Linked DNA regions of Sus scrofa. The protein of the gene in region 2 binds, or shares a complex with, the protein of the main gene of each other region. Links are inferred from orthologs where the notes say so. Each region holds a gene or a part of one and is shown on either strand. Other genes may lie near its edges. The genes, in order: LIN9, RBBP4, HDAC1, CHD4, CDK2AP2, RBL2 and LIN52.

Region 1 (3,500 bases), on a different chromosome or scaffold from region 2:
GGCTAAGGGACGAATCAGAGCTATAGCTGCCGGCCTACACCACAGCCACAGCAACGTGGGATCTGAGCCTCATCTTCGACCTATTCCACAACTCACAACAGTGCAGGATCCTTAACCCACTGAGTGAGGCCAGGAATCGAATCTGCATCTTTATGGATACTAGACAGGTTTCTTTTCCACTGAGCCATGATGGGAACTCAAATGTACTTTTAGAAAGGAGTAAGAGAGAAAGAAAATTTGGACTAAATACAGAGCAAAGTACACCAATCTTAAATTTTTTCATTAAAGGATAAAGACTTTAAACCTCCCCTTTCAAAAAAGGAAAATAACTTTTCTGTTTCATTAATGTAATTTCTTTTATGAGATCACCCAAACATTTCTCCCTGGCCAGATAAGAACTGACTTTAATTACAGGAGGTAATATTCAGATAATCTTTAACACAGAGACAACCAAGGTCATAGGTCACTTTCTTTTCTTTTATAAATCACTTTCTTCTGTTTTGTGGGTTCAGCCTGTTAGTTGCAAAGTAGTTATTCATACTCTGACTTAACTTCTATCCCTGGAGTTCCTGTTGTGGCTCAGTGGTTAACAAATCCAACTAGGAACCATGAGGTTTCGGGTTCGATCCCTGGCCTCAATCAGTGGGTTAAGGATCCAGTGTTGCTGTGAGCTGTGGTGTAGGTCACAGACGTGGCTTGGATCCCATATTGTTGTGGCTCTGGCGTAGGCTGGCTGCTATACCTCCGATTCCCCTGGCCTGGGAACCTCCGTATGCTGTGGGTACGGGCCTAGAAAAGATTAAAAAAGACAAAAAAAAGAAGTTCTAGCCCTTTGATCTTTGTGGGTTAATATATTTTATAATAAATCCTAACATGTAAACTAGTGTACATTTAAAGCTGAAGTAAAGTCTTTACAAAGCTAAAATGATTGCTAAAGTTCTTCAAGTTGTCAGGACTGTTCTCTTTTCCCAAAGAGTAATGATTCTCATGAGACCATGCCAATTGCTGCCTTTGGACAAAAACAGCGGCCTTCTCGATTTTTTATGACTCCACCACGGTTACATTATACTCCTCCTCTCCAGTCACCAATTACAGTAAGTAATATTTTTTAAATAGCACCAATAATTTAAATGATTATTATGCATGTAAACTTGTTCTTATGAAATATACATCTGTTGCAGTAACTTCAGGAGGTGCCCACATTATTTTGAGTTGTCAGATATTAAATAAAATAGTTAATAAAACAGTTGCTCCAACTCTGGAAATATTTTTCTTTTTGTAGGGTTTTTAACAGAAAATTATAGTAGAGTTTGATTTTTATCTAAAAATAAGATACTTCTTTTGAACAGTTAATGGTTAAATCATTCCCTTTTATTCCCGTAGGATAATGATCCTTTATTAGGACAGTCACCTTGGAGAAGTAAAATTTCTGGCTCTGACACTGAAACATTAGGTGGTTTTCCAGTAGAATTCCTTATCCAAGTGGTAAGAATTGCTCTGAATATTTTAGTTATTTGTTTTTTAAAAAAAGTCTTTTGTGTTATTAAAGTTGAAAATTTTTCTAGGACCAAATATTTTTGCACTTTTAAAAATTATTGTGTTGGTTTTAAGAACTCTGTTATTTCCAACAAAGCTTGAAAATAAGGGGTAACAGCCAAAAAAGACTTAGTGGTCTTTTTTGTTAGACTTCTCTTGGGTTTGGTTCTTATTATTTTGCGATGTTAAGGACTCTAACATTCTGGCATATGCCCTGTGAAACTGAATGTTTAGTTGTTAATAAATTGTAGACTATAAAATTTTGGAGTTCCCGTTGTGGCTCAGCAGTTAACTAATCTGACTAGCATCCACGAGGGCACAGGTTCAATCCCTGGCCTTGCTCAGTGGGTTAAGGGGGGGTCCAATGTTGCCATGAGCTGTGGTGTAGGTCACAAACGCAGCTTAGTCCTGCATTGCTGTGGCTGTGGTGTAGGCCAACAACTACAGCTCCAGATCAACCCCTAGCCTAGAAACCTCCATGTGCCATGGGTGTGTCCCTAGAAAAAAAATAAGAAAAATAAATAAATAAGTTTTTATTTAGTAACCTCAGTGCATCCTGGCATTATCAGCACCTCAACAATTATGATATGTTGGCCAGCTCTCTGGTTAGGAGGAACTTTCTTTTCTGACTAGAAATAGCTATTCATTTGTTAAGTACTTAGTAATTAGACACAAAGACATCTAATGGTAAATCGAAACAAGTGTAGAATTGTTTTTTTTTTTAATTTTATTGGAGTATAGTTGACTTACAGTGTTGTTAGAATTATTATATAGAACAGTTTTCCTGAATAGCCTGACTCAACTCAGAAGAATAGAATGAGCTCTTTGTTTTGAAGATTATAGTAAATAAATTACTTACTTTGAATCACAGTCTAATCATGTTTGTTTTGTGTCTTTTCCTTTCCTTGTGTTTTTTTTTTCTGTGTGTGTGGTTTTTTTTTTTTTTTTTTTTTTTTTTTTTGGTCTTTTTGCTTTTTCCAGGGTCGCACCTATGGCATATGGAGGTTCCCAGGCTAGGGGTCTAATTGGAGCTCTAGCTGCCGGCCTATGCTAGAGCCTCAGCAACATGGGATCCTTAACACACTGATCGAGGCCAGGGATCGAACCCGAAACCTCATGGTCCCTAGTCGAATTCATTAACCACTGAGCCATGACAGGAACTCCCTCCTTTCCTTTTTTTGAAAAGAAAAACTATGTGGCTTGGATAGAGTCTTTATAAATAAAAATGTGTCTAACAATCCATTAAAATATTCACAGTGTTACCTTTTACAGTTAATGTTATTTTGAGGAAAAGTCTGGTCATTTGTGTGTATGCATATAGTATTTGTTTTCGCTCTTTTTTTTTTTTTTTTTTTCAGTCTTTTTAGGGCTCTCCTTTGGCATATGGAGATTCCCAGGCTAGGGGTAGAATCAGAGCTGCAGCAACAAGGGATCTGAGCCACATCTGCAGCCTACACCACAGCTCAGGGCAATGCCGGTTCCTTAAGTCATTGAGCAAGGCCAGGGATTGAACCCGCCTCCTCATGGATACTAGTCAGATTCATCCGCCGAGCCATGACGAGAACTCCAATGTATAGCATTTTTTATTCTTTAGTTATATGTTGTTCATTATCTTTGGAATACAGAATTATGCCTTTTGGCTTCCAAAGATGGATAAGATATTTTTAAATGAAAAGTTTAAAATATGGAAAGAGTGAAGGCTTATTATTTTCATAAATAGGACACTTATTTTTTAAAGACTTTCTTTCTTTTAATAGTGGAAGTAAAACAGAGCTAATATGTCATATTCGGACAAGTAGGGTGGTGAGGGGAGAAGAGAGAGAGAAGGGAGGGAGGGAGAGACACAGAGACTTACCAGTAGAGGGAGTAAGAAGCTAAATACTAGTGCACTACTTCTAAAGTATTGATATTTTTATTGGTGCTTAAATGTTTGATTGCAGTGCTTAGTTTTAACTTCAAAATCT
Region 2 (4,098 bases):
GACATACAGGGTCCAGAAAGAACTAAGCCTAGTAAGCTATGGTAAATAGTTGGATTCTATACTGAAGACAAGGGGAATTTAATGAAATATTTTAAGCAGGGATATTAGAGTCAGATTAGTCCTTCCCAGACCACAGCCACCTTTAGGGATGATAGCTTAAGGTTTATATAGAACTTCAGAGTCTGCACTACACTTTCACATTTATTTTTATCTCAATTATCCCTCACATGAAGGAACTGAATGCAAAGAAAGGTTATGTGATTTGCCTAAAGTCACTTAACTAAATATGGCAAAACCAGGTCTTTTTACTAACACGATACAGGTAAAACACCAAGTTAGAAGTTCCCTACTGAGAGCTTTCAGTCCCCTAACCTAGCCACACTCTTAGGAGACGACAACTCCGCAAACGCTTGAAAACACGGTTGTGTTTAGAATTAATACACCAATAAAATTCCCACAAAGTAAGCGTGAATAGGCACACGTAGAAAAAGTTCAAAAGACTAAATGTGGAAGCCCAGATTTCCGATTCAGACCGGGTGGCTTTTCCCTTCAGCATCCGCGGGACAAGCACAGAAGAGACAAACAGGGCTAAAAGGGAACGTGCCGGAAGTACCGTAGGGGACAAAGTGGAAGGCGAGGCCAGAAGCCCCAGGTAATGAGAGAAGTGAGACACCTACTCACACTCGTACTTCCGATTGACTGGAGGATACTTGGCCTTGATCGCCTTCTGCTCCTCAGTCAAATTGTAATCTCTAAAATCTTCCCCTTCCAGCGCCATGATTGTGCTTTTGGACCCAAACTCAGCTTCCGCCCTTCTTCAGCTGGACTTCGGCCCTGACTTATAACTTCCGCTCTAGACTCCGCCCCTTGGCACACCCTTAAAGGACCAGGGCTCCATTCCCTGGGAGGTACTTAATCCTTCTAGACTTCCGTTCTGTGTCCCAGGGTTTGGAGCACATCATTAAAAGTCGAAGGACCCACTTTCTGCTCTTGCTTAATAGTTCTTCCTACGACTAAGGAAACAAATAATTTGGAGGACGTGGAATAAGGGACACGAATTAGACACCTTTCGATCTGAATGATAGAGGCCTTTTCTTGCCGCCTAGCCCCACAATAGATAACTAGACCCGGAAGCATCCTACATTTTCCCATCTAAAGTACTACTTTGAAGGGGTCGCTAGCTTAACACCCTTCACGAAAATGGCTGCCCCCAAAAGCGTGCGGACTAAACCTCTCACGTGACCCCGGGCGGGTGCACTTCTACTACTCCCGCGCGCGCGAGCGCGCGCGCGTGATCGGAGGAAGTCGGCTTGGGGCCGTGTGGGGGCAGGGGCAGAGCGCGCGCCTGGGCCTGGAGGCAAGCTGCTCCGCGCGTCTGGATAGGCTGCGATCGCGGCTTCCCCGCCCACACCGACGTTCGGCGCACTCCGATTGGCCGATGTTGGCGCGAAGGTGCGCGAGTCGGCCCTCACGCAGGGGCAGCAGGAAACAATAGAGGCCGCGCGCGCAGAAGGAGCGCTCGCAGCCTCCCCGCCCCTCTCGCAACGCTCTGCCCCAGGATCCCCCCGGCTTGCCTGTACGCCATGGCGGACAAGGAAGGTGAGGGTGCCGGGGCCGCCCCAGGAGGGCGGGAGGAGTCAGGCTTGCGCCGCGGCCTCAACGCGGCCTAACGGTGGGGGCAGGCCAGACTCTGCCTAGGGCCGTCCCCGCCATCGCAGGCGTGAGGAAAAATCGCCCCGCGGGGCGGGCTCATGGCGCGCCAGCCCCTCTGGAGCGGAGGCCCGGCGCAGCGGTGTGAGGCTGGCCGTGGTGGCCTCGGGGGGGGTGTTTGGTCCCTCCCGCGCTCCCCGTCGGTCTACCTGCCTCTCTCCGGGTCCTCCCGGCCGCTCTCCCTACCCGCAGGGGTCGGTGCTCGGTCTCACCGTCGGTTCTGTGCGCTCGACGGCGGGCGCCGTCGCCCGAAGGGCTAACGGAGTGTCTGGTCGGGATTACCCGAGCAGTTCCCGCCCGGCGAAGCTGGAGAGCGGTGGTGGTGCCTGCGCCTCCGGGAGATCTAGACTAATCTCCATTTCAGAATCAGGATTCAGGAGCCGTGACGGTAGCTTTGGAAGTGTTTACTCGGTTTCCGTTTGTGGTCGCTAACTTAATTTGTTCTTAATTTTTTAGCAGCCTTTGATGACGCAGTAGAAGAACGTGTGATCAACGAAGAGTACAAAATATGGAAAAAGAACACCCCTTTTCTTTACGATTTGGTGATGACCCATGCTCTGGAGTGGCCCAGCCTAACTGCACAGTGGCTTCCAGATGTAACCAGGTGATAGGAATCTCTCGAATGCTGTTTTGTTGTGTCCTCAGTGTAGATTTCTCACATTGATTTTCCCTGTTTTCCTCTCTCCAGTCACCCGTAGAGGACACGTGATCAAAGCCTATTGGTGACATTTTTTTCCTAGGCCAGAAAGTAAGGCAAAATGTAAAATTATTTTGCAGTTTAGCATATAAGAGAGAACATACTGATGTTTTCTTTTTATTTACTTGTTTTTATTGAGGTACTGATTTACAATGTTGTGTAAATTTCTGCTGTACGGCAAAGTGATTCAGTTATGTTTTTAAAGTACAGCTGATTTTCCATGCTTCTTCGGTTTCTGTTGTATAGCAAAGTGACCCAATCACAGTTTCCTGTGTACACTTTTTTTTGGATATATATTCTTTTCCATTATGGTTTTCCTAGGACACTGAATATAATTTTCTTTGTTATACAGTAGGATCTTGTTTATTACCACTTTCGTGTAGACTAGCTTATTACATCTGCTAACCCCCACCTCCTGCTCCCTCTCCCAACCCCCTTGGCAACCACAAATTTATTTCCTATATCTGAGTCTGTTTCTGTTTTGTAGATAGGTTTGTCATATTTTAGACTCTCCAATATAAATGATATTTGTCTTTCTCTTTCTGATTTCACTTAGTATGATCATCTAATTGCATCCAGGTTGCTGCAAATGGCATTATTTCTTCCTTTTTACGGCTGAGTAGTATTCCATTGTATATATGTACCACATCTTTATTCATCTGTCAGATTGTTCCCATGTCTTGGCTATTGTGAATAATGCTGCTGTGAACATAGCGGTACATGTATCATTTTGAATTATAGTTTTGTCTGGATATATACTGGGGAGTAGGATTGCTGGGTCATATGGTAACTCTATCCTTAGTTTTCTGAGGCATTTACATACTGTTTTCCATAATAGCTGCACCAGTTTGCTTTCCCACCAGCAGTGTGGGAGATGTTTCCTTTTCCTAACACTGAATTGAATAGTGGGATTATAGCTGTAGTTGACCAAATGGTAATGTAAAACTTGTCAGCTTTCAGAAACTATCAGGATGAGTTCAGTTTTTAACATCAAAATGTTTGAATCTCGGCAGTCAGTGGTATTTTCTAGTTAGTTAATGCAAAGGTAAATGTGACATGGTACCTGCTTTCAAGTCTAGTGAATAGGCAGGTATAATTATGAAAGTGGCAAAGATAAAATGATCAGAGAAAGGAAAATTATCTCAACTTGGAATATCAGGAAAGGCTTTCAGTGGGAAGTGACAGTGTGAAAAGGAAGGTGACTTTAAGTAGTATAAAGCTTTAACAAACTGAGCGTGCCTGGGGGAATAATGGATTTTTTATTACAAAACTGTTGGTGTTCAGAGTAACAGCTGAAAGTTATATGTATGCTAAATAACTAGGTTCCTTCAGAACTCAGGTCTTTTGAGTCAAGATATTTGTAAAATGTGGTTGTTGGCCTATGTTTCAGCTCAACAAGTAATAGAAATTTTATAGAAATTTCATTGCCAACTTAATGAGCATGCTACTTTCGTAGTAGCTTTTTAAAAATGGGGAAATCTGGAGTTCCCGTTGTGGCTCAGCAGTAACGAACCCAACCAGTATCCATGAGGATGTGGATTCAGTCCCTGCCCCTGGCAGTGGATTAAAGGATCCAGTGTTGCCGTGAGCTGTGGTGTAGGTCGCAAATGTGGCTCAGATTCAGAGCGTGGCTGTGGCTGGCAGCTGTAGCTCTGATTCAGCCCCTAGCCTGGGAACTTGATGTGCTACAG
Region 3 (2,555 bases), about 200 kb from region 2:
CTTCACATCAGTCCTTCCAATATGACTAACCAGAACACTAATGAGTACCTGGAAAAGATCAAGTGAGTATATCCCCCCACCCCAACACCCCTCGTTTAACATTCGAGGCTCTGATTGGTCCCTGATCAGAGCCCAGCCACCTCTCTACCATTGGCCATAGACAGCGACTGTTTGAGAACCTGAGAATGCTGCCCCATGCACCTGGGGTCCAAATGCAGGCCATTCCTGAGGATGCCATTCCAGAGGAGAGTGGCGATGAGGATGAAGAAGACCCTGACAAGCGCATCTCAAGTGAGACCCAGGGGCCCCCACCCTACCACTCTGTAGGCAATTCTGTCTTCCCTGCATTGTTCCTGGCTCCACATTCTCCACAAGCTACCACCTGTTGAGAAACTCGAGGTCCTGTGCTTATAATTTAAGGAGTCTAGCTTCCTTTCCCTTTTGATGTCTTTTGGGGAACATGCAGGAAAGCACTGGGCAGACCATGAGATAAAGAATTTTCTCTCTCACCCATATTTCCCATTACCTCCCAGTCTGTTCCTCGGACAAACGAATTGCCTGTGAGGAAGAGTTCTCTGACTCTGATGAGGAGGGAGAAGGTGGTCGCAAGAACTCTTCCAACTTCAAAAAAGCCAAGAGAGTCAAAACAGAAGATGAGAAAGAGAAGGACCCAGAAGAGAAGAAAGGTGGGTTAGGGTTGGGCCAGGACTTGGGTCTTGAGCCCCAGGCCCTCGAGGAGGAATTTATGTAGGACACTGGGAGGAGGGCGCTGACTTGGGTCCTGCCAGCTCCTGTAGGCCTCTTCTCCGAAAGGATGAAACTCAATTCGTCTTCACTGGCTGATTGAGCCCTCCCAGGCCCCAGAGCCAGGGACATGCCTGGGCTCCCGGTGGTCAGGAGCGTGGCTCTCAGATACCACCCCACTTTCCCAGGGGGCTGCCTCCACCCACAGGGTTCAGGCTCTAGCAGGCTGGGAAACCGGTTTGACCTGTTTGTTCTCTACAGGGCTCGCCTGGAGGGCTGGGATGGGCTTTTCTCTTTTGTATGTCCAGCCAGCTGTAGTGTTGGGGAAAGGGTTTCAGGGTAAGTGGAGATCCCATGGGTCTTTCCAAAGGGGCTGCCCTTGGCCATCCCTGCTCTCTTATATTCTAGAAGTCACAGAAGAGGAGAAAACCAAGGAGGAGAAGCAAGAAGCCAAAGGGTAAGGAAGGAGCTGTCTTATCTCCCTGGCATTGGAGCACCAGCCCCTTTGTCCCACCACCAGGGACAGCTGGTCCAGCTTACAAAGGCTTCTTTCAGGGACCAGTCTGTGTTTCTCTGCAGTTCTAGGCAGAGCTAGGAAGCCCCAGCCCTCAGCAGTCACCTGGGCAGCCCGGGCGCTATGGAAATCATTGTACCCATACTTGGCCTCAAGGCCTCTAGGGTGGGTTATCTCATTCCAGTCTCTGCTCTCTCCACAGGGTCAAGGAGGAGGTCAAGTTGGCCTGAACAGACCTCTCCAATTCTGGCTTCTTGCCAAGTTCCCCGTCTTTATCCCACAACCCCTCAGATTTTATATTTTCTATTTCTGTGTATTTATATAAAAATATATTAAATATAAATATCCCCAGGGACTAGACAGGAACCAGGCTCCTGAGCCTAGGGCACACGTGTTAGGTTTCTAATAGCTGCCTCACCATCCATCCCTCTCCACCTCTTAATTTCAAACCATAACAGGTGGAAGGGATATACCTAAGCAGCCATAGGACAAAATCTTGACGTGACTAATAACTTTGAAAGGGTGCCCTCGTCGAGTATTTTAGAAGGGTTGACTGGGTCTTCAGGGATTCCTTGTTTTTTCAGGCTCCTTAAGGTAACATCAGCCATTTTTAGATTGGTTCTGTTCTCATACCTTTCCACTGCCCCCCAGTGAGCCAAGAAACTCACACTGCCTGCCCTCTCTTCCTCCCCCAATTCTGCAGGTGAAGATTGGTAGTCTAGGTTCCTTTTTGAGATACTATTTCCATTTTTGTGCGAATCTTTGTAATAAAATGGTACATTTCTATACCCTCCTGAGCCTGTCTCCTAGTGGTATCCCTGGGTTCATTTCACTTCCACTTCCCTGCCCTTAAGTGTACACGAGGATCTGGGCAACCCCTCAACAACCTAAAAACCCCACAGACTTACCTGTCTTAACCCTCCTCAAGGCTTGAGGTTAACCAGTCTTCTTACCCTACCCCAGAAGACCACTCATTAAAAAGCACCACTAAAGGGACGACATTTATTCCTTTTCCAAATGTTACAATAAAACCAGGTGGAAGAGAATGGTTTTAGCAGTTAGAAAAGAAAAAAAAAAAAGTACAAATCTGGGGTTTGGCCATTAAAAGTTATTTACAACAATGGGAGGGGGAAAAAAAAAAGACAACAAGAAGTTGTTTCACATTACAGACCTCCCCCCACCCCAAAGCTTAATACTTGCTTACCAAGTCAAAAAAGAGACAGTTGATTCACAAGCTGGAGGTTCGAACTTGAGTAAGACATTTATAAAAACCTAGACAGGGGCTCTGTCCTCCCCA
Region 4 (3,500 bases), on a different chromosome or scaffold from region 2:
TTCTATGTAAGAGTCCCACCAGCTGGAATATGTTGTTTCAGGGGGAAACAATACATTCTATTCTTTTTGGTCTTTTTAGGGCCAAACCCACGGCACATGGAGGTTCCCAGGCTATGGCTCAAATCGGAGCTGCAGCTGCTGGCCTACACCATAGCCACAGCAGTGCGGGATCTGAACCATGTCTGTGACCTACACCATGGGTCACCTCAGTGCTGGATCCCTAACCCACTTGAGCGAGGCCAGGACTGAACCTGCCTCCTCATGGATGCTAGTCAGATTCTTTCCTTCTGAGCCTCAATGGAAACTCTATAATATGTTCTTTTTTTTTGTCTTTTTAGGGCTGCACCTGCGGCATATGGAGGTTCCCAGGCTAGGGGCCTAATCGGAGCTTCAGCTGCCAACCTACCCCACAGCCACAGCAACACTGGATCCGAGCCACGTCTGCCACCTATACCACAGCTCACTGCAACACTGGATCCTTAACCCACTGAGCGAGACCAGGGATCGAACCTGCAACCTCATGGTTCCTAGCTGGATTTGTTTCCGCTGCGCCACGACTGGAACTCCTACAATATATTCTTTTTAAATGTCTTTTACTTTATTGTAAGCCAGAAAGTTTGGGTTAGCTGTGGTCCTATTTTGGGTAACATGATAGAGGGTGGTGTCTGGGAGCAGAGGTGCAAAAGGAAATTTTGTACGAATGAAGGCAAACTAGCTCCTACCTTGTGCTAGATTTAGTATGTTATGTGGAAGTCAAGGCCAAAGTAGAAGTAAGAAAATACAGTTACTTCAATTTTCGGCTTCATTTTGTGCCTAACTCCAGGCTTTTAGCAGAGCTCACCGTATTGGGCAAAATAAGAAGGTGATGATCTATCGGTTTGTGACTCGTGCATCAGTGGAGGAGCGCATCACCCAGGTGGCGAAGAAGAAGATGATGCTGACACATCTAGTTGTTCGGCCTGGGCTGGGCTCTAAGACTGGCTCCATGTCCAAACAGGAGCTTGATGACATCCTCAAGTTTGGTACCGAGGAATTATTCAAGGATGAAGCCACAGATGGAGGTGAGCTAGTCAGGAGCTCGTTTTGGTCTGGGGCTTGGCCTCTCTAAAGGGTATCTTTCTCTGGTACCTATGGTCCTGAGACTCAGACCTTGGGTCCTGTGGGACTTGCTTTCTCCACTGCAGCTGCTGAAGCTAACTGGGGGTGTGGACCCCTGATTCTTTATAGGAGGAGACAACAAAGAGGGAGAAGACAGCAGTGTTATCCACTATGACGATAAGGCCATTGAACGACTGCTGGACCGGAACCAGGATGAGACAGAGGATACGGAATTGCAGGGCATGAACGAATATTTGAGCTCTTTCAAAGTGGCCCAGTATGTGGTGCGAGAGGAAGAAATGGGGGTGAGTATGAGTCCAAGGCAGTGCTGTGCTTGGTGATTGGTCCAGAAATTGGAATTGACCACAGTGGTATCTGAGAGAAGAGGGAGACATCTGTAGGCAAATTAGTACATTGATGAATTGATATATCTCTTCCTTTGAAAAGAAATACTGTAACATATGAGCAAATCACATTCTCATCTTTGACGTGGCTATCCAGAAATTCATGGCTGCATTTCACACAACTTTATATTAACTCTTCTTTATCGGAATCTCGTTTTCTTTTCTTTCATGTATTTTATTAGCTCTATAAGTAAACTTTGGATTACTATCTCCAGTCTCTCCAGAGAAAAGGTAGGAGATAAGATATGAGATAAAATACTTACACCATCTTCCTGTGCTTTTTAAAACAGAATTTTTTTTTTTTTTTCTCTTCTGTTTTCTTAGTACAAGATAAAAAGTACTCAGTGGTTGTCACTGTTGTGGCGTGGGTTGGCTCCTTGGCCTGGGAACTTTTGCATGTTGTGGGCATGGCAAAAAGAAACAAAAAAACAGCCCTCAGTGATATGTGGCTTCTGTAGGAGTTGTTTCGGTAGGTTAAGAACCCAACTAGTATCCATGAGGATGCAGATTCGATCCCAGGCCTCGATCAGTGGGTTAAGGATCTGGTGTGGCTTCAAGTTGTGGCATAGGTTGCAGATGTGGCTTGGATCTGGCATTTCTGTGGCTGTGGCAGAGGATGGCAGTTGTGGCTTTGATTCAGCCCTTAGCCTGGGAGCTTCCTTGTGCCGTGGATGTGACCTTAAAAAGGAGAAAAATATGTGGCTTCTGTAATGATTTTTTTTTCCCCAAAGTAGTATAGGGTATAAAACGAAAAAAAAAAAAAAGATTGCTTTTTCTTCCTGTCCCCTTTAAGCTACCTGGGTCAGGTTGCTGGTGATTTTTGCCACTTTTTCTCATCCTTCCAACTTGGAACCATCCCTCTTGCTGTGTTTTTCTCATACCTTCCTATTATCTTGAGTGACACTACTACTGCTAACATCGGTTGGGTGTAACCGTAGCTGCAAAGTCTGATGGGTCTGTAGACCAACAGTGTTCAATCAAAACTGCCCTCCTGTAAGGCGCTCTGGTTCCTGTCAGTGGTGACTGCACCTGCTGAGTGGTTGGATGAGAGAAGTGTACTCTCCCTCCCACTGATCACCTCTGCTAGTGACTACACAGGGATGCTGCCCACATTCTCTTTAGTGGCTGTGGCTGCTCTTTACTTTATAGCCTTTTTAGATTTCGTTTTTTGAATAGGAGTATAGCTGATCCTTGAGCAACTTATTGTTGGTCCTCCATATCCGTAGTTCCTGCATATCTGCAGATTCAACCAGCCATGGGCCGTGTAGCATTGTTGTATTTACTACTGAAAAACATCCATGTGTAAGTGGACTTGTGCAGTTTAAACCTGTGTTGTTCAGGAGTCAGCTGTAATTCAGCTGGTTCAGAATTCAAAAAATAGGAACCTTGAGGTTGCGGGTTCCATGCCTGGCCTTGCTCAGTGGGTTAAGGACCTGGCGTTGCCCGTGAGCTGTGGTGTAGGTGGTAGAGGTGGCTCGGATCCTGCGTTGCTGTGGCTGTGGTGTAGGCTGGCAGCTATAGCTCTGATTGGATCCCTAGCCTGGGAACCTCCATATGCCCCAGGAGAGGCCCAAGAAATGGCAAAAAAAAAGACCAAAAAAAAAAAAAAATTCAAAAAATACAGAGGTATCTCTCTCCCACCCCATTCCTCTGGCCACCCAGCTCCCTCCTTGAGGACAAATGATATTTTCAGTTTCTTGTATATATATATATATATTTTTTTTTTTTTTTTGTCTTTTTGCTATTTCTTGGGCTGCTCCCGCGGCATATGGAGGTTCCCAGGCTAGGGGTCGAATCGGAGCTGTAGCCACCGGCCTATGCCAGAGACACAGCAACGAGGGATCCGAGCCGCGTCTGCAACCTACACCACAGCTCACGGCAACGCCGGATCATTAACCCACTGAGCAAGGGCAGGGACCGAACCCGCAACCTCATGGTTCCTAGTCGGATTCGTTAACCACTGCGCCACGACGGGAACTCCTCTTGTATATATTTAAA
Region 5 (4,212 bases), on a different chromosome or scaffold from region 2:
TGGAGGCAGCCAAGGCCCTGCGCTGCCCCCTGGTGGCATGACTGTGAAGGAGGGCAGGGCTTTCAGCCACTGGAGCTCAACCCTCTCTACTACTTACAGGTGGAAGAGGCAGGGGGCAGCGGCAGACAAGGGCAGGGTCCCACCAAGGTCAATGGACAGTGGAGGCAAGGCAAAGCTGGGCTCAGTGGACCTCTCTCCCACCCAGTGCACCACCCCGAGTCTCCTCTTTGCCCTCCTTCCTGGCCCACCCAGACTTACTAGACGCAGCAGACTCATAAAGACTACAAGCTGAGAGAACAACTCCAAATTATCTTTTATTTATACAAAAAGGGCATATTTAGCAAAAGACACACCGAGAAAAGAGTTATGGCCTAGGAGACGAGGCAGGGAGGCGACAGGCCTTCTGAGGCTCTGCTGGGGGGAGAAGGGGTCTGGGAAAACGGTAAGTCCTGGGTAAGTGCTGAGCGGTGGGGCCACAGAAAGGAGAAAGCCCCAGCTGGATCAACACTGTTGGCAGGTCATGGGTGGGACTCCCAGGGACCTCACTGCTCCCTCTTTTGGGGGTTCCAGTTACTGCTGCCGACTGGAGTGAGAGCCGCCCACTGGTTCCTGGAGGGCACCCACCAAAGGACACAGGACAGGAAGCCCAGGATGGGAAGTGCAACTCGGGGTGAAGGCCAGGGAGAAGCAGGTGCTCTGCAGTGGCCAGGAAAGGTCCAGACGCCGAGGAGGAGTCGAGTCCTGTTACGTGCGGGCGTTCCGCTCTGTCTCTGCCAGGCACTCTCTGACTAGGGCCCGGGCATGGATGATGCCTGGGGTGAGGATGGGAAAGGAACAGATGAGGCCTCAGTGACCCTCCATAGCCCCACACCCCCCTCCAGAGGAAGACCCCCCTCCCTCCCTACTCCCCTTTCCTTTCAGTGAAAGGGACTATGACCTAATGGGGGCCTGGATGAGATCAGAGGTTCGGTTAATGCTCAAATTTGCCCCGGTGAAATACAAATTCTCTGGACCTTCCCTGGAAACGGACTCGGCTGCAATTCACTGCAAAATGCCTCTGTGGACAGTGATACTGGCCCTAGTCTACGCTTGGCTCAGGTGGCCTCCACCTGTCTTTCCTTCCCAGTGTTAAGTCTCCTGGGCAGGGGTGGTGGGCCTGGCCTCACTCACCTCTCTTCAGGCGCTCCATGGCACTCTTGCTGCCAGCATAGGTGGGTCGGATCTCTTTGCCCATCTCCTCTATGACCGACAGCAGGTCCGTGTAAGTGCTCTGGGAGCCCTGGGCGCCAGGTGGTTTCATTGCCTGTGTCAAAGGAGAACACGGCAGTGAGCTCAGGCCAAGAGGGGGGCTCCAGTCCTCCTCCACAGGCAATCCTATGGAAGATCCTAGGCTCCACTCACCTGCACATAGCCCATGGAGGGCGGTCCAAAGTCGTTAAACAGAGGTCTGAAAGGAGCAGCAGCTCCCGGCACCGAGCCCGACGGCGATGGGACACTTCCAGCTGCAACAGGCGCGAGTGAGAGGTCAGCGCGGGGTAGGGACGCCTCGTCCCGGCGCTCCAAGCCCCGGACCAGATTCGCCCGATTACCTCCAAAGGGATGCTTGGCTTCACGCTGCTAAACTTCAGGACAAACCCCTCCCCCTGTGCTTCACCAACAAGCCCTACGTGACCACGCCCACATCACAGGCCAGTAAACTGAGGCTCAGCGAGGGTAGCCGGCAGGCCCACTACTGCAGAACTCAGGCCGTCCTCTCTTCGAGACCTCCACCGCCCGGACAGGCGAGCAGGGGTGGAGCTGGATCCTCACCTGTAGGGACCGGGGTGCCGGGCCCAGGGGTGCTGGAGCCCGGGGTGCTGCTGGGGGCGGGGGCGATGGGTTTGTAGGACATCCCCAACTCCTGGGTGCGGCAGACGCCGGCCGGCCGCTCCTCCCGGGTTGGCTGCCTGGCCGCTTAGCTGCGCTCTGATTGGCAAGCCGGCAGCACGCCCCTGGTAAATAGAGCTCAGGCCGGAAGGGCGGGCGGGCACGAAGGCTCCTTCACTCCTGATTGGTGCGCGAAGACGTCACTCGGGCCTTGTCATTGGCCGAGGCCGGCCCCAACAGGCCGCAACCGCTTCTGATTGGTCTCCGCCTTCCGGACCTCGCACCTGTCTGCTCCGGATTGGGTAGTGGTCGATGCCCTCCGCAATTGGCGAGTTCGCGGCCCGGGCCGGCGCGCTCTCAATCCGATTAGTCCCAAAACGCGAGAGGCGGAGCCTCGGAAGCCGGACCTGGGTCCGGTCCGCCGCGGTTCGAGCCCGGCGGGGCTTCCCGGGCGCGGTTGTCGTCCTCACGCCTCACTCACGTTGCTTTGTACGTCACCTTTCCGCTGCCGTCCCGGTTCAGCTGGGGCTGCTGTCGTCGCCGCCGTCGCCGCCGCTGCCGCGCGCGCGCGCGCGCCTTTCCGCCGCTCCGAGTGCGGGAGGACGCAGGGCTTTGACGTTCCCAGCCCTGCGCCCCACCCCGTGCGCTTTTACGTCACCTTTCACCGGTTCAACAACCTGTCCCCGACCCGCGCATGCGCCCTCTTAGGGCCTCGTTTGTTCCCATGGCAACGGACCCCTCACCAATGCTGCTGACACGCCTCTTCCTCGCAATTGCCTGGACCTCGGGTCCTGCCCCTCTTCCAACTACCTGGACCTCAACCTGCCCTCCTCCCCCAAGGCCCCACGCCGGTGCCCCATAATGATAATAGCGGGAACAGCTAATCTTAAATACTTACGGCATCCCGGGTTCTGTACCACGGACGGTCCTGGATCAGGGACTACAGCAGCATCTGGGGTCAGACTGATGGGTCTAATCGCACCCTCAGCCCCCACCCCCACTTGCCCTTGGGCAAGTTACCTCCCTAGGCCTCAACTTCCTCATCTGTGAAATGGGGACGCTAGGAACAACCATCTCCTAGGATTGTTGTGTGGATTAAACGAATAGTCATAAAATGCTTATGTTTCATTCTCCTCTTCCCTATCCATTTCTCTATCCAGACCCCTCTCCTCAAATCTCATTCCTCACAACCTGAGATCTTAGACTCTCCTCCAAACCGTAACCCTTTTTTCCCAGGCTACTTCTCAAAACCTCTCTGGCTTTGTGTACCGGTCATGTCCAGGACATTCATTCATTCGTTCATTCAGCAAACATTTTGATTCCATCCCCCATCTTCGGCTTTATGCTGGACACTGATATGGAAGTGAACTGGCCATGGCTTCTGTCCTCCAGGAGCTCCTAGTCTCAAGGAGAGACAGACAGGGAAGCAAAAGCACACAATGGACTAAGGCAATGTGGAGACTGGGACAGGGAGCATTGGAACTTAGGGGAAGTGTGACATCACAGAAGTTTTCCCAGAGAGGCACCACTCAACAGGTGAATGGACAGATAAACTGAGCAGTCGCCATACAATCAACTATTATTCAGCAATAAAAGGAAATCATCTATCTATAGCCTTGAAAAGATATAGACACAGTGCTGAGAAGCCAGTCTGAAAAAGCCACATACTGTATGATCCCAAATGTACGGCATTCCGCAAAAGGCAAATTGATACAGAAGGTAAAAAAAATGACTGGTTGCCAAGGGTGCTGGGGTGAGGGGGTGCTGGGTAGAGGGGGGAGGGGTAAAATTGAACAGGGGGAGCAGAGGGGATGGGGGGGCATGAAGTGATTATGTATGATGCTGTAATGGTACATGCAAGACCTTGACAGTTACCAAAGAGTAAACTTTTTCATTTAGAAGGTCAGGCGATCCGAGGGTGGAAAGCAGAATATGACAAAAGAATCTAGCTGTATTGCAAATGTAGGAACAGCCTCACTGAAGGGGGTGGGGGAATCAGGTGCTAATCTGGAAATCAGTGGAGTCTGGAGGAACAAAGACAAAAAGATCTGCACGTAAGCACTGGACCCTGGTTGATGACGCGGTTTCCCATGGGGGATGGGTTGACAATTCTGAAACCACTGCACACGTACACTGGAATTCAAAATTAAATAAGTGTAGAACGAATGGCTTCTCACTGTTGGAATGAGGAGTTACAGGTAGCAAGGGAAGGAGGTTAGAATAGTCCATGGGCTAATGGATTGGAGTTGGAGCTCTCAATAGGAGCTCATGTTTAGCTTGACATAAATACAGTTGGTTACATACAGAAATATTTTTTTCTTTCTTTTTACGGCCACACTCACGGCA
Region 6 (4,227 bases), about 57 Mb from region 2:
GCTATATGCTGCAGGTGCAGCCATAAAAAAAGAAAATAAAAGAAAGACCACTTCTCTTTTGCAGGTTTACAGCCCAGGTGTTCAACTCTTTATGTACTCCCTCTTGTTCTTAGGCCTAAATATAACTCAGGATGAAGTTCAAGGTTAATAAATAGACTAGATGAAGTTCCCACTATGGGGCAGTGGGTTAAGAACCCAACTGCAGCAGCTCAGGTTGCTGCAGAGGCACAGATTCAATCCCCAGCCCAGTGCAGTGGGTTAAAGGATCAGCACTGCTGCAGCTGCACAGGTCATAGTTGTGGCTTGAATTCAATCCCTGGCCTGGGAACTTCCATATGCCATGGGTGCAGCCATTAAAAAAAAAAAAAAAAAAAAAAAAAAAAAAAAAAAAAAAGGCCACAGCTAAAAGATTATAGTTCTTGTAATTTATTTTACAAATTTATTGTAAAATATTTTAATAGTGATTTTTTTAAGCCATTAGGAAGATAAATTTTGGTATTTCCTCCAAAATGCCAAACATTCTTTTTCCACCAGTCTTTAATTTGAGAAAATTAACTCAAAAGGCATAAATGATAAATGTAATCAATCAACAGAAAAAGCAGTTTCTACCTCCTCTTTAAAACACCATTTGAACTTTTGTATAATTGATTATAACACTGTTGCTTATCCTCCAAAGAGGAAACTAAGTATTTACATGTTCCATATATAAGATACAAGTCTTGTGTACGTAGCTCTAAATTTAACACCATATAATATTTTATTACCTTTTCATTTTAGAATATCCTTATTTAGAATTCTCCCAATATTACATAAGGATGAGTCATAACCTTTAATAGTAAACACTTTATACAAATGCCCAGTACATTAAAATTTAAGGAGTTCCCATTATGGCTCAGCAGTAATGAACCCAACTAGTATCCATGAGGATGTGGGTTTGATCCCTGGCCTTGCTCAGTGGGTTAAGATCTAGGGTTGCTGTGAGCTGTGGTGTAGGTCGCAGATGCAACTCAGATCTGGCATTGCTGTGGCGTAGGCCACAGCTCCTATTTGACCCCTAATCTGGGAACTTCCATATGCCACGGGTGTGGCCCTAAAAAGCAAAATAAAATAAAATAAAATGTAAATACTTTTTGACAAATAAATAACATATAATGGATACTAACTTAGATGTGGTAAAGGAAAACCATGACCTAGCTTCTAAATTTAGCACTCCATAGGTACAAATGCTCAGAAAATAATAAATAAAGAGAATTCTCATGGTCACTGTGATTTATAAGCTTTTATATTAGTCACACTACAAACTCTAATATAGCTGAGTTACCTCTGCTCTGAACATCTCAGGATTCTGGTTAAAGATACATAGTTTCCCTCAACTGTTCCTTTGCTTACAGTTGGCACAGATTTTCTGCAAGCCACGTATAAGGCACATGCTAACCAATGAAGATCATTTCCCTGTAACATAAAAGAAAACTGATTTTAGTTAAATAACACCTCAGTTAGACCTTCCCATTCTGAGCCTATTCGCCTACTTGCCATAAACTATAAAATAACTTAAGAAAATCATATGGCCTCCTGTTTAAATACCACTCAAACAGGCAGTCAAACAGCAGATAAACAATGTAGACTTCCGTGTCACTTCCCATTGGCCCATAAAGGGGAGGTGCCTACAGAGTAGAGCCTCACTGGCTAGAATGGCCATTTTTCTCCTCTGCAAGCCCCGTCCAAAGAAAGAGACAAAACACACCTTGATCACAGCGACTATAAGAGTCCTGTGCAATGTCTGGGGGGACCAAAAGGTCCCCAAGGTCGCCCCATTTCTGACTTCCTAGAGACGTGAGTCTATATCTAGGCAGGCAGAAAGCTCGTTTCTTTTGCTCTACGGAAGATTCGTCTTTGTTTACACATACATAAACACAGCCCGAAACGTTAACAATGTACTCAAACGGATACACTGCCTGAACGAAAGCAATTTGCTACAAGAGGAAAAGAACTGAAGAAGCCTGGAAACGCAGGCGCTAAAATCGGGTTAATCTCGGTGCGAACGTAGGCAAGTCCCTGCACCCCACCCCCACCCCCCCGAGTATGGTCTTGATCTTGACAACTGCACCTGTTCATTCTGCCAACAAGGTGGTTGTGTTTTTGTAATTGGACTCCAGCCCAACCTCAGCCTCGCAGTGCTACTTTAGGGCAAGGGCTGTTCTCCCTTCGGAACCGGAGAGGGAAGAGCAGCGAGTCAGGGTTCACTTTCCGGACCGTCAAGAGTTTTTCAAGAGCCAGGTTTCCAGAACGAAGCTGCGCAGAGAGGTTTCCCTCCCGGCTCAAGGCTGGGGTCGGCCCGGGGGATCCCCCCGCAGGGCGTCCTAGCCGGGGTGAGATGGGGCCCCGTCCCCGGAGGCGAGGCGCGACCACTAGGCCCAGAAAGCCGCTGGTCTCCTCCCCCGGGCTCACCTCCAGCGTGTAGCTCTCGCTCATGCTCCGGTAGCTGTCCCAGGCCTCCGCCCGCGCCGCCTCGTCCATGTTCAGTCGGCTGCACAGCTCTTCAAACCGTTGCTGGGTCTGAGGGGCTGGCGACCGAGAAGGCTGCGCGGCGTCCTCCGCCTCGCCATCGTCTTCCTCCTCCTCGTCCGAGGCCGCCGCCGCCGGAGGGGGAGGAGGGGGCGGCGGCGACTGGTCGCCTCCCGACGGCATAGTGCACACCTGGGCGGCCGGTCCTCAGGTGAGCCGAGGGCCCGGGCCCGCAGCCATTCAAACCGCAAAGCGCCCGCCTGTCCGCCGCCCGCTTCAAGACTGCGCCGCCGCCAACGGCGCTAGACCTCACGTCGGCACCCGTAGTTCCGAGTGAGGCCTGCTGGGAAATGTAGTCCAGCCCACGGGGATCAAAAATCATATTTTAAAAATCATCTCGTGTCGTCTCCCTCCGGGTTAAATAAAAGGGACTTTTGTATATTTCAGGTACCTCCTCATAGAGAGACCATTTTTGCAGGGCTGTATTGAAGAGAAACCATCCAAGAAACATTGACTTGAGAAGGTGTAGTGTCCAAGATGTCCCCAGAATACCCATCACCTGCGCGTCCTTATCTAAAAAATAAATATTATAGTAAGAGTCTGCCTAAATTCAAATTTAGGGGTCTCTTTTAGTTTTTTACTGTTTTTAAATTTCATGTGAGACTTTCAAGTAATTATTGGATTTTTTTTTTAAGTATTAATTCTTTTTTCCCCATAGGGTGAATTTATCTTCACCTACAGGTGACTGTATTTGTACTATTCTTAGTCACTCCGTTGCTTTAAATTCATTCTTTTATTTTCATTTTGCTATCTCTGTTCAAATCTTTATGAATCCCTATATTTCCAATCCTTATGGATTTACAGGGGGTACAGTATAAAACATTTTCATGCACTAGGAGTCTTAAGGCATTGAAGTTTTGTATGGGGTCACTTCTCTCTCTCTTTCCACTGAATCTCTAAACCCAGCCACCATACTGTGAGGAAGCCCAGGTCCCTTGGAGAAGCCTCTTCTCCAAGAGGAAGCTTTCATCAGTGAAAGGGATGAAAATATTTTATTCCATCACTACTGACATTAGGGGGAAGAACTGGGTTCTGTTTTGATTTGTGCAGAGATGATTGAGGTTTTAAAGGAGAGATGAAGGAGAAGAGATGGTGCGAGAGCAGAGCTCAAGAAAAAAAAGTAGGAAGGATTGGTGAGTATGAATGTGATTAGGCCACCAGGTTCTGCTAGTTGTCAGTTTGTTGAAGTTAGAAGACAGCCCTCCCTGGAGTTCCCATTGTGGCACAGTGGGTTAAGGATCCCTGGCCTTGCTCAGTGGGTTAAGGATCTGGCGTTGCCATGAGCTGTGATGTAGGTCGCAGACACGGCTTGGATCCGGAGTTGCTGTGGCTCTGGTGTAGGCCAGCAGCTACAGCTCCAATTAGACCCCTAGCCTGGGAACCTCCATATGCCGAGGGAAGCGGCCCTAGAAAAGGCAAAAAGACAAAAAAAAAAAAAAAAAGAAGAAGAAGAAGACAATCCTCCCACAGAGACTGGGAGATGAGGCCATATCCTTCCTGATGACTACATTTCAAAGGAATATGTACAGGTCATTAAGAAAAACACCCATGATATGTAAAAGATGCAGTGGGCCCTCAGTCTGCAAAGGTTGTGCATCCACAGGTTCAATCATTTGTGGATCAAAAATATATTTTTTATGAGTTCCTGTTGTGGCGCAGCAG
Region 7 (4,199 bases), on a different chromosome or scaffold from region 2:
AAGAGAAGGGTGAAGCTCTGTAAAAGATGAGCATGAAACTTTTAAAAATTAAATGTGCAAATAGAGTGTCAGTGGAGATGGCTAGAACACCAAAGGGGAAAAATACACTTCCAATATTCTCCCTGGCCAAAGAAAGGAAAAGAAATTGAGAGAAGATGGGGTAAAATCAAACATGAGGAACAAAACTTAAAAATATAAAAACAACTTTGGTGTTCCTGTCGTGGCTCAGCGATTAATGAATCCGACTAGTATCCATGAGGACACAGGTTCCACCCCTGGCCTCACTCAGTGGGTTAAGCAGCTACAGCTCTGATTCAGTCCCTAGACTGGGAGACCCCTAGCCTGGGAAACTCCATATGCCGCAGGTGTAGCTCTAAAAAGAAACAAAAAAATATATATGTATACACAACTTAGTAATAAACTAAAATTTTTAAATAGCAATTACTTCTACTTCTCTCCCTTGGCTGGTTTTTTAAAATTGTGATAAGATATACACAACATAAAATTTACCATTTTAACCAGTTTTAAGTGTACAGTTCAGAGGCATTAAGTACATTCACACTGTTGGGTAACCATCATCACTATCCATTACCAGAACCTTTTCACTTTCCCAAACTAAAAGTCTATACCCATTAAACAGTAGCTCCTCATACCCTTGGTTAACTTTTTAAATGTCCTTTTTTTCCAGGCAAAAAAAAAAAAAGCACATTTTAACAAGAGAGCACCCAGGCAGAAGAATCTCTTTTGACTCTTTTTTTTTTTCTCCTATATTTTTGCCATTTCTTGGGCCGCTCCCGCGGCATATGGAGGTTTCCAGGCTAGGGGTCTAATCAGAGCTGTAGCTGCCAGCCTACGCCAGAGCCTCAACAACTCAGGATCCCAGCCGTGTCTGCGACCCACACCACAGCTCACGGCAACGCCGGATCCTTAATCCACTGAGCAAGGCCAGGGATAGGACCTGCAACCTCATGGTTCCTAGTCGGATTCGTTAACCACTGAGCCACAATGGTAACTCCTCTTTTGACTCTTTACACCCATAATTTCCTCTGCAGTACGTACCCATGCTCAAAAAACTTAACACTCAGTTAAAACTTAAGACTAAGTAATACATTATTTATGTATATATCTAATCATTCATTCAATAAATGTGAATTGAAGACCTACTTCCTGCCAGGTACTGTGCTAAGCCCTGGGATCCAACTATGAACATGACAGTCTTGGAATTTACAAGCTAGTGTGAAAGGGGCAAAGTTAACAGAATAACTATGCTGTGGATGAGGGTACTGAGATAGAATAATGGTGAAGTGAGGCAACTCCAGAAACAGATACAGTGTTCTGGGAAAGCCTTTTTGGGAGGTGACATTTAAATGAAACTGAAAAAATATTACATGTTTGATTAATCTTTTCCTCTCCCAAAGCAATTAGAATAATAATGCCTTTCGAATAGTGGATCTCAGCATAGCTTTCCAGGCCTCAACTTCCTCATTCTTGAAATGAACTTCCAAGATTCCTTCCATACACAAAATTCCTTTGTTTGAGAGAAAACTAAGTATAAGTGAAATGGACGTGGAGATGCAAAACTGAGTTTAGAAACGACTGCAAGCATTTTGTCGAGGCAAAAACTGAGCTTAGAAATGACTGCAAGACCCTAACCCTAAAGCAGAACGGAGCGCAAAACCCTGTGGATATACCAAAACCACTTAATTGCTACCTCAGATGACTTGCTTCTTATACAACATATAAGCAGAAATCATTCATTCACTCAGCCTTAGGAAACAACACATAACATAGAAGAAAGACGCTGAGTGAATGAATGTGCATGACTACACTAAAAAGCTCAATTGTCATTTTCCTAGGGACTCTCACTGAGAGGGACCAAGAGGGGTCTCCTGCTTCCCTTGCTGCCAGAACAACGGTCCCAATCCGAGGAGGGAGGAGAGAATCACATTTTCCTTGCGGTTCAATCCCGAGATTAGGTCTGCCACCAACCCTAGCTAGCGTGAGAGAATCGTTCCAGATGCTCAAAGAGAATCGAACCTTCAAAGGGGCGCCCTGAGAAAGAGAAAGCTACACTGAGACACCTCCTTTACCCCAGCAGTATCTCCTCCTTGGCCCTCAGCCTCACTCAAATGCGGCTAAAGGAGGACCAGAGAGGCCCTCCTTGTTTTGCCCGGAATGGGTCCCAATCGGGTGCCCTACTCCATCCGCCTGGCACACTGCAAAGAAACTGGGCACCTCCGGAGCCTCTGTGAAGAACCAGCGAGCTGAAGACGCACCCACATACCGTGGGAAAGTAAAAGGGAAAGGCGAGAAGGCCACGAAAAAGGTGTAAGTTAGAGGGGCAGACGGAGAGATTCTCTCTGAGCATCTGTAAGTTCCCAGGAGAACAGAGAAGGAGGTCGCAAGCGAAGGGTCTATAAGCCGGCTCTTACCGTCTGTGGGAGACGCCATCTTCCAACCCATGTCACGTGACGTTGCCAACCGTCGGCGGGAAAGCTAGGGTCCATAAGCCACGCCCCCAGAGAGAAACCCTATTCCCCAACCCTCTGTCCTGTCTCGTTTCCCCGCCCCATAGGGTAATCTTCCGTAGCCCCGCCCCCAGGGCTAGCCACACCCCCTCGCGCTGTGGATGTGCTGGCGCTGCTGAAAATTCTTGCAGAGTCCTATTTACTTTCCTCAGTGAGTGGGTGGGGCTGCGGCCATGCCTGTGGCCAATCGGAGTTCCGAATTCGGGGGCGTCTTCCTCGTGCTCTCAATATAGAGTATCCAAGTCAGGGGCGTCTTCCCCACCTCCGCCAGCAGAATTTGTTGAGGCGGGAGGAGGCGAGAGCTCTATCACTTCTGACCAATCGCATACGCCCAGAACTGGGCACTGAGGGCGTGGAGTCAGTGTTAAGGCGTGTGATTGGCTAGGGGAAATAGTCCTCTCCACCAATGAAGAGGTTCGGCAGGATGGAGGGGCAAGGCCTAGCAGCAGTAGTGTTTCTGGACAGTCTCACAGAAAGGCGTGGGGGGCTGAGAAGAGGCAACCGAGAACCATGGCGGCGGTGCTGGCTGCGGCGGCAGTGCGGGCCCGGATCCTGCAGGCGAGTGAGGGTGGCGCCAAGGGTTCATGAAACTAGGAATTCAGTCCTTTCCATCCGCTTTGTGAACCAACCCCCCCTTGGCCGACCCTCCTATTCCCATCGGACCTGAGCGGCCCTGTCCCACATCTCACTCGGTATCCACTTGCGTTGGATCCAGCCCTGGACTATTACCCGTGGCCTTTTTATTCTTGAGCCTACCCCTTTCAGGCTTTAGACCATTCTCCTCCTCCAGCCGTGCCCGGTCCCTGCCCTCACCTCTGTAGGTCTGCCCACCGTCTTTCCCTTTCACCTCTGCACCAACCACCTCTCTGCTCCAGAAGCTCCTTTTCTGGTCGCCTTTCTTGGCATTCTCTGGGAGCGTCCAAATTGTTCCCTTCCCCAACCCTACTTCACTCTATAACCCGAGGTAAAGGCGTGGGCGGAGGGGAGGAGGAGGAAGGACTTGAGGGGTGAGGGTCAGTGAGTGAACTTTGAGTCTCCTTCTAGAAGTGCACACTAAGCTTTCCCTCAAAGCAGCCATTTGCTGAGCTATCTTCCCCAGCTTTGGCTCTGTATTTTCTTTTTTTCTTTTCTTTTTTTTGTCTTTTTGCCTTTTCTGGGGCCGCACCCGCGGCATATGGAGGTTCCCAGGCTGGGGGTCTAATCGGAGCGGTCTTCGCCGCCCTACGCCAGAGCCACAGCAACGCTAGATCCGAGCCCCCTCTGCGACCTACACCACAGCTCACGGCCACGCCGGATCCTTAACCCACTGAGCAAGGCCAGGGATCAAACCCACAACCTCATGGTTCCTAGTCGGATTCATTAACCACTGAGCCACGACGGGAACTCCGTGGTTCTGTATTTTCCACAAGCTAGGCTGTCCTCTTGGCTTGCTGAGACTTTGAGTTTAACTTTTGCTCAGCCAAGTTAGTGTTTATGTTGGCGGTGAATAAGGACACATAGTTAATGCTACCCGGTTTGTTCCAAGCACATGCAAAGGACTAAACACCTCTGAAACAAGTGGCAGAAAATAAAAGCCAAGGAAAACAGGTGTAACGTTCTAAGTTCCCACTCCAAAATCACCTTAGTGTGACTCAGTTCTGCCCTCAGAGGTGGGGCTGGGAGTGGAGGTGG

The links.
Region 1: the proteins of RBBP4 (region 2) and LIN9 are in contact, whole or in part, in a crystal structure (PDB 7N40), measured with the Homo sapiens proteins. The link is inferred for Sus scrofa from reciprocal best matches to the Homo sapiens genes RBBP4 and LIN9. Residues at the interface, in NP_005601.1 of Homo sapiens: Ala11, Glu14, Arg15, Val16, Ile17, Asn18, Glu19, Glu20, Tyr21, Lys22, Ile23, Trp24, Lys25, Lys26, Asn27, Pro29, Phe30, Leu31, Tyr32, Asp33, Thr37, Ala39, Leu40, Glu41, Trp42, Pro43, Glu75, Pro87, Asn88, Asp89; in NP_001353174.1 of Homo sapiens: Phe107, Arg108, Asn111, Leu112, Lys114, Leu115, Lys117, Ala118, Lys120, Trp121, Ile123, Tyr124, Glu125, Trp126, Phe127, Tyr128, Leu135, Phe136, Asp139, Asn140, Asp141, Phe142, Cys143, Leu146, Arg156, Lys157, Leu158, Thr159, Arg160, Val161.
Region 3: RBBP4 (region 2) and HDAC1 share a complex: the UniProt entries of both Homo sapiens proteins name them as parts of the core histone deacetylase (HDAC) complex. The link is inferred for Sus scrofa from reciprocal best matches to the Homo sapiens genes RBBP4 and HDAC1.
Region 4: RBBP4 (region 2) and CHD4 share a complex: the UniProt entries of both Homo sapiens proteins name them as parts of the nucleosome remodeling and deacetylase (NuRD) repressor complex. The link is inferred for Sus scrofa from reciprocal best matches to the Homo sapiens genes RBBP4 and CHD4.
Region 5: RBBP4 (region 2) and CDK2AP2 share a complex: the UniProt entries of both Homo sapiens proteins name them as parts of the nucleosome remodeling and deacetylase (NuRD) repressor complex. The link is inferred for Sus scrofa from reciprocal best matches to the Homo sapiens genes RBBP4 and CDK2AP2.
Region 6: RBBP4 (region 2) and RBL2 share a complex: the UniProt entries of both Homo sapiens proteins name them as parts of the DREAM complex. The link is inferred for Sus scrofa from reciprocal best matches to the Homo sapiens genes RBBP4 and RBL2.
Region 7: RBBP4 (region 2) and LIN52 share a complex: the UniProt entries of both Homo sapiens proteins name them as parts of the DREAM complex. The link is inferred for Sus scrofa from reciprocal best matches to the Homo sapiens genes RBBP4 and LIN52.

What each region holds. Positions count from the first base shown.
Region 1 is NC_010452.4:14,139,028-14,142,527, reverse strand, and holds part of LIN9 (protein lin-9 homolog), read left to right. Parts: intron 1-974; coding exon 975-1,094; intron 1,095-1,383; coding exon 1,384-1,485; intron 1,486-3,500. UniProt on the Homo sapiens protein: Acts as a tumor suppressor. Inhibits DNA synthesis. Its ability to inhibit oncogenic transformation is mediated through its association with RB1. Plays a role in the expression of genes required for the G1/S transition.
Region 2 is NC_010448.4:88,985,794-88,989,891, forward strand, and holds the start of RBBP4 (histone-binding protein RBBP4), read left to right. Parts: upstream 1-1,298; 5' UTR 1,299-1,583; coding exon 1,584-1,599; intron 1,600-2,166; coding exon 2,167-2,314; intron 2,315-4,098. Other genes in the region: ZBTB8OS (protein archease), read right to left, coding at 682-778. UniProt on the Homo sapiens protein: Core histone-binding subunit that may target chromatin assembly factors, chromatin remodeling factors and histone deacetylases to their histone substrates in a manner that is regulated by nucleosomal DNA.
Region 3 is NC_010448.4:88,783,166-88,785,720, forward strand, and holds the end of HDAC1 (histone deacetylase 1), read left to right. Parts: coding exon 1-62; intron 63-160; coding exon 161-291; intron 292-533; coding exon 534-686; intron 687-1,152; coding exon 1,153-1,201; intron 1,202-1,460; coding exon 1,461-1,488; 3' UTR 1,489-2,055; downstream 2,056-2,555. UniProt on the Homo sapiens protein: Histone deacetylase that catalyzes the deacetylation of lysine residues on the N-terminal part of the core histones (H2A, H2B, H3 and H4).
Region 4 is NC_010447.5:64,088,627-64,092,126, forward strand, and holds part of CHD4 (chromodomain-helicase-DNA-binding protein 4), read left to right. Parts: intron 1-823; coding exon 824-1,061; intron 1,062-1,227; coding exon 1,228-1,403; intron 1,404-3,500. UniProt on the Homo sapiens protein: ATP-dependent chromatin-remodeling factor that binds and distorts nucleosomal DNA. Acts as a component of the histone deacetylase NuRD complex which participates in the remodeling of chromatin.
Region 5 is NC_010444.4:5,023,844-5,028,055, reverse strand, and holds CDK2AP2 (cyclin-dependent kinase 2-associated protein 2), read right to left. Parts: upstream 2,801-4,212; 5' UTR 1,892-2,800; coding exon 1,810-1,891; exon of another isoform or gene 1,590-1,809; intron 1,503-1,589; coding exon 1,402-1,502; intron 1,304-1,401; coding exon 1,171-1,303; intron 813-1,170; coding exon 745-812; 3' UTR 290-744; downstream 1-289. UniProt on the Homo sapiens protein: Acts as a component of the histone deacetylase NuRD complex which participates in the remodeling of chromatin.
Region 6 is NC_010448.4:31,799,218-31,803,444, forward strand, and holds the start of RBL2 (retinoblastoma-like protein 2), read right to left. Parts: upstream 2,801-4,227; 5' UTR 2,689-2,800; coding exon 2,449-2,688; intron 1,453-2,448; coding exon 1,322-1,452; intron 1-1,321. UniProt on the Homo sapiens protein: Key regulator of entry into cell division. Directly involved in heterochromatin formation by maintaining overall chromatin structure and, in particular, that of constitutive heterochromatin by stabilizing histone methylation.
Region 7 is NC_010449.5:97,380,621-97,384,819, reverse strand, and holds the start of LIN52 (protein lin-52 homolog), read right to left. Parts: upstream 2,801-4,199; 5' UTR 2,464-2,800; coding exon 2,433-2,463; intron 1-2,432. Other genes in the region: ALDH6A1 (methylmalonate-semialdehyde dehydrogenase [acylating], mitochondrial), read left to right, coding at 3,039-3,086.